Saccharomyces cerevisiae S288C: one gene and its partner. The protein of the gene in region 2 purifies or fractionates together with the protein of the main gene of each other region. This does not show direct contact. Each region holds a gene or a part of one and is shown on either strand. Other genes may lie near its edges. The genes, in order: YLR257W and NRS1.

Region 1 (3,417 bases), 410 kb from region 2:
AAAGGGGTGAATTGCGTTCCTGGAGAAAAACTACGCTTTCGGGGAAAGCTGCTCCCTTTGCTGGCCTAATTCCATGTCCAAAAGGGTTAAACATTGTATGCCCAGGCTGAACTCAGTCACATATATCATCACCAATTACCATTTTCAGGGAGTCTGGTCGCGGGGTCGCGGGGTCGCTAATCCAGGGGCAGTCCAGTGTCAGAATTGGTAAGCTGCAAGAACCCCATAAGGCCTGTCCTGCCTGGCATGATAGTACTAAGTCAGCATCGTGCCGGAAAATCGAAAATGAGCCATGCTCGAGGCCCCATGTGCAGATATCCCTATTCCTCTTGTAGTATCTATTTTTGTCTCTAAAACGATATCCGGGTCCTCAGGAACGAATGATAGAAAATGGATTTAAGGTTTGCTGCTCCATGCGAGATTTTGTAAGGGTTCCATTAGTGATGGCGTGCTTTGCTCAACACACTAGCAGGCGGAAGGACATTCTTGTGCTACGCCTGCAATCTTGAATTTACTTCTCGAAGTATTCATGTTTTACTACCGTATTGTTTTATTTCGCACATATGTACATGCAACTCATCGGTCACTCTAAAAAGCCAGCAAATTTCGTAATCCATGAAATAAACATAAAAAGCCATTACTTGACAGAAATTTTAATGATAGACAAATAAATAATGTATACATATAAATAATTGGAAACTTCATCAGAAGTCACTCCAGTTTCAATATTCCATTCTACTGTGGTTGAGCTTTGTTAGCTGCTTCTTCCAAATCTTTGGTGTATTCTTCATTACCCTCGTCTTCCATCAAAACACCCTCCTTTTCGGCGTCCTCCTGCTCTTCTTCTAAAGTTTCCGGGATAATTTTGGGTCCGTTCTCCAAATCAACTAATGATATAGAGTAGTTGCTGGTACTATACATTCTAGAGTCTTCTCCCTTAGAGGGCGAAACCGTTTTGTTCTTTGTGGGTCCACGACTTATTGACCTCGATAAGGATCTTAGAAACTCAGCCGAAGATTTTTGTCTATCAAAGGATCTACCGCTTCTTTCTTGTCTTTTCTCTGATTTTTCAGGCGCCGTATGATCTATTTCCTGTTCTGCGGACTGGTACGATTCACCCTTCGCCAAATGTGGCCTGTTGGAATTGTTTTTGATCATTTGCCCGTAAGAGTTTCTGATTATGTCTTCGTCTTCGTCGTCTGCCTCACCTGTAATATTTTCAGGGGTGCCTGATGAAGAGTACTTACTGATGTGATCTTCGACAGGATCAGTTGATGTAATCAGTGAATTAGATTTGGAAGCACGCAGAGAAGGAGAGGAAAAACTTTCCGAGTTGATGGATTTATTTCTTTGCTTTTTTTTCAACAAGAGTAGTTTTTTCCTTTTCTCCTCTGCCTCTAGGTCGTCTCTATTGCTGCGAACTTTCGAAGCATCAACATTCTCCAAATCAACTTCGTCGGTCAGCAAAGCACCCTCACGATTCAATTCCGCTACAGATGTATAAGATCTATCTCGAATATCATCATCCTTCTGCATCTTGCTTAGGGCGTGATTGGAACTCGTTTGTGGCGTTAGTAACCTCGAAGCCTCACTTTCCTCATTAAACTGATTAGTATACTGGAAATCCAGACTATTTCCATCATTAACGTTTCTTATAGAATCACCAATTAAACATGGCGTACTACCCCTAGCGTCAACCATTCTTACTTCTCTTTCTCTTGATATGTGGTATATTTTACCTAAATCTCACGATAATATTATTTTCAAGTATGCTAAAAATAAAGGCAATCGAAACACGTGGAAAAGTACTCTTATTAACCAATGTCGTGCGGGTCAAAATGCTATTTCTATCACTGACGAATAGAGAACCTCTTAAAAATAAGTGATAGAGTCAAAGACAGAGCTAAGATCTTTTCAGACGCAAATACTAAGAGACCTAACACTGAGTAAAATAACTTAGCATGTCGTTTTCTATACGCTTGATTATCTATTTATATATGGTATGCATAGTGGCCAGTGCATGCGCAAAGCCTTGCCCTTACCGTGGCTTCGTCAGATCCAACCATTCACCATCCCCTGGATATGAACTAAAAATTTCTCGCAAGGTGAGGTCTAGGCCGACGCCCGTTAAGAACCCCTGCTGTCGAGCTTCAAAACGTAAACAGTTCGTCTCTAGTGATAACTGATAAGTACCTATTTATCAGTCCTAACCCCAGAGATAGATATCGCCTTGCAGTGCCGTATTAATGAAGAAGATTCTTTACGGTATCAAAGCGAAGTGCCATGAGATCGGCTTCACCGACAGAACAGACATGCAAAACGATGATAACTGCAGCTACACGAGAAAAAAAAACAAAAACGACAATCTCCAGGCGGAAAAAAAAGACCGAATACAACACAGCATTGTTTATATCACACTTTCCGTAATGATAATACACAGCGCAATATCTGTATTTTGTATGATCGAACTAATTGAGCGGTTCTTTCTTCAGCGCCTCTAAGTTTATTCGAAGAATTGCCCACTTGATTTAAGATATACGTTATAGCAGTGGTAACTTCTTTATACTTCTTGTTTTGCCAGCCAAAATAAAAAAAAAAAACAAGAAGTTACAATAGGCTAATGAAACTAAATTATAAAAACTTGTTCCTAAGACAATGAATTGTTCCCAATATCTTGATTTTATGGATTCTTGTTCTGTGTAAAAACAATGAGGGAAGGCCACCAGAGAGGGGTGATTAGGATCTTGGCGATATACACTTGAGGGTTGAGTGAATAATTGTTGAAATTTCATTGTTATCAAGAGCTATAATATTAGGTGTACGAATATACCAAGTTTCCCTCGAGAATAGAGAAATCCTCCAAGTGGAGTCGGTAAATCTACATAATAATATCACGGTTATTTCTCCTTCCGTTTTATATATTTCATTATCCCATTACATTATCAGTCCTTGCATTTCAGCTTTCATTAGTCTGATGACTGGTTCTCAATCTTTATGCCATCTTCTTACACTGTATATGATAATATACTAGTAAGATGAATATTAGTCAATAGACAATACTAGGCCTTCATTCCAACAGATTCTTGCTTCAACAGTAAGAAAAAGATCGAATATATGTGGTGAACTGGAGGTCTCAAAACATAGAGAGCAGTGAAAGACAACTGTTGTATTACGGGCTCGAGCAATACCGGGGTCCCTTGACAATCCTAATATAAACAGTCTTTGGGAAGTAACGAGTTGCCAAAAGGGATTATCAGCTTACGGAATGTTACTTATCTTATATATTATATAAAATATGGATCATACTTGATGGTGGAAGCGCGGAATCTCGGATCTAAACTAATTTTTCAGGCGTTTATACGTTTGGAAAGTTCAGTTAAGGAGGCGGAGTTTCATCTCATGTTGCTCATTCTGTTC
Region 2 (3,169 bases):
GCCAAACATTCTCACTAAGGATATTAAAGAGCTGCACCACAAATTAAAACATAACGGTGCAAATACGTATTCAATTGACATTGTGTTAGTGTCTGCAATTTCCTTACAGTCTTTCGAAACAACTTGTCGATTGTTGTCAGATTACACGAACGACAATACGACTGTGCTTATTAGCACTGATTTTGGTTGCGAACTGGAGCCCATAGCCATAAGTTATTTTGGAGGGAAGTGCAAGTGTGTTATTTCCATTTCGTGTGAGGTTGAATGCAGACAGTTATCGCTTGGATCATATGCATTGGTCAACGACGATCAATGTGTAATAACTTTGGGATTAACTTATTGTGATGCTAATTTTGAAGCAAGTCCAACCATTCTGGAAAACACGAAAGCAGCTTCGTTAGAATTGCAAGGGATTAAGGGTTCAAATGTTCGCAGGTTCCTTCTTGGATTGACCGTTGCGAAATGGATGAAATCTAAATTAATTTTGGACCCAAAACAAATGGCATTGAAAATGTGGGAATTGCTTATTCCTAAAATCTCACTTAACATCCTTTCTATCATCTATGAACAATTTGATTATGAGAAAATGTTAGAAAACAAATCCACAGAAATTATTTTTAAAGATCTGGTGAAAGAGTTACTTGGAATTTGCTTTGCACAATGTGGAAGCAAAATTGCAAGGTTTTTGCTAGTAAAATCACAAGGTGAAGAAGAGATTAATTTTGGGAAAATCGTAGAATATTGCAAAGGTAAAAAACTGCAACTTATCAACTCTACGGCAAACGAACATCCGGAATATTTATCCTTACCGTTTGAGCCTTATTGTTTCTACCACCGATTTGAATATCCTGCTCAAATTCTTTTGCATCAGCCCATCATTTTGGCCAAAAAGTATGGTGTTTCGTGTTCAAATTTAAATTTCCTATATGGATTCTATACGAGGTTACTGACACTAAGTGGGCTATCAATAAATGGTGGAAGGTGTGAGCATGCCTTGTCGATGTTGGACAGCAGGATTGGTGGTGGTATTAACGTTGCTTCAGGAATTAATAGCGGCCAAGATTTTACCGATGGTGATAACGAGGATCAAGATAAAGGCAAAAACAGAGTGGACAAAAATGTAAAGGAAGGTTCTTTCATTAGTTTAACACAACGATTCACGATGACAAGTCCACTGGGTGTCAATGATCCAGCTTTACCAGCGGACTTAGAAAAGTTGTATTTAGGTGCAGAATACATTAGCAATTGCGACGCAAATACATCTGGTGGTCAAAAACGAGTAAAATCTCCAACTAAAGCAGATACAGGCTACGATGATAAACACTTGCCTGATGATACGATACATACATTTGAAGATGAATATTTGGCCGATGAAGACGACTTTTCTTGCCTTGGAATTGACAAAAGAAGCTCAACAAAGCCCACAAAGCCTCTAGAAAAATTTGGAGTGGTTGCTGTGCCACACTTCATCAGGAGGTTTTCTATTAAAAGGTCGAGTAAGGATAAATCAAATGATATGAAAAGACCATATACTACAAGCAGCTTGGAGTTGCAATTAAGGTCAAATCACTTTATGTTCGCCAAAGAATACCAAGACTTACATAGACAATTATATTACGAAGTTAAACCAAGGACGCAATCAGAATTGGACGCAAGACGTCGAAACTATTCTGAATTAGAATCTCAGATGTGGAAAATTAAACATCGGTTCAATATTCATAGAGGAGCACTGCCTCGTCCACGAACGAATCCGTATGAGCTATTACTGGACCACATTGATGTTTTGAACCGTGGCAACACTGGGGATATTTTGAGATTTACCACTAGTAGATACGGTGGTGTAGATACGTATGATTCCATCTTGAGGGACCAATCCACGATCATGGAACTTTTAGATAAACGGTGTGCCTATTCACCTCCAGTACTGTTCGATAATGAGGCTAAAGAACGTGATCATGATCGCGATTGTTATCAAGATTACAATCACGACCACCGGAGTCATTAATATTAAAAAAAAAAAATGTGATTGTTAATAAGGGGTGGGATGCGCGAAATTCTATGCCTACAGTAGAAAGCGGTTGTTGCACAAATGATTAAATCTTTATCTCCAACTCACAATACTATCGCGATAGATGCATAATATGTGCAGCTTCTAAACAGCACGGAGTGATGATAAATACGCATATATGTATATATATATGTATGTGCATATGCACGTCCTTTTAAAACTCAAAATACAACATTCTTAGTAAATCCTTTTGTTGACACACGTCGGAACAACTCAGGACGGAGTTAATGGATATGCTTCATAATAAATGTAGTGATGCTATCAAAAGCACCTCCAATAGCAATTTGAGTAATGAGGTAGACAAACAAAAATTGCAATACGATGACCTCGGGAACACCGGATTTTCTGAACTATTTGAGATGGAATCTCAAGATAATAATGATAGCATAGAGGATTTCTTGTTCTTTAATATAAATTTAACCCAGGAGGTTGAGTTCGAGAACCAAAGACAATATGAGCACACGAAAAAGACAAAGAAGCATAACCCATTCTATGTACCGTCAGAGGTAGTGCGAGAGATGGTCAAGAAACACGCATTGAATGGCAGAATATAGTTAAGCCCGATAACACATTCTATTTTTCATGTTTTAATAACGTTTCATATATGAATTTTTCTCAAATATACGATATATACCTAAATGAATATGCATATGGAAGTGAAGTTGGGGATTTTGCAAACTTGTCTTATGTTAATCTTGGCTTAAAGAATGTTTTCCAAAAGGCCGTTCTTATTAATTTTTCTTCTCTTGGTTCTGTTAAATGCTAGTGAATTCGCATTGACGTTCGTTGGTATGGCTACTGCTCCGAATGCGATTGGATGGCTTGCCTTCCTGCCACGATTACTGAACAAATCGAGTTCTACATTTGCATCCAACAGTAGTTCTTTCAATATAAACCACTTTCTTTCTTTCTGTGAAAGTTTTTGGTACTCTTCAAGCAAGTTCTCTTGGATTTTGGTCAGTATATCAATTTTTTCATCATCTGATAAGTCAGGGTCCTCAGTTTCTTGGTCCTGCTCCGCTGCATTTAATGTTACAATTTGGTCATTGACAGCTTGTAAAAAGTTGTCATTCATAGCGTAAAGATTGTCCTTGTACAACC

Evidence for each region.
Region 1: the proteins of NRS1 (region 2) and YLR257W purify together in Saccharomyces cerevisiae (affinity purification with mass spectrometry, with the first as the bait; one study listed by BioGRID). This does not show direct contact.

The regions. Positions count from the first base shown.
Region 1 is NC_001144.5:657,110-660,526, reverse strand, and holds YLR257W (uncharacterized protein), read right to left. Parts: upstream 1,702-3,417; coding exon 736-1,701; downstream 1-735.
Region 2 is NC_001144.5:247,553-250,721, reverse strand, and holds NRS1 (Nrs1p), read left to right. Parts: upstream 1-2,295; coding exon 2,296-2,622; downstream 2,623-3,169. Other genes in the region: OSW2 (Osw2p), read left to right, coding at 1-2,005; IES3 (Ies3p), read right to left, coding at 2,769-3,169.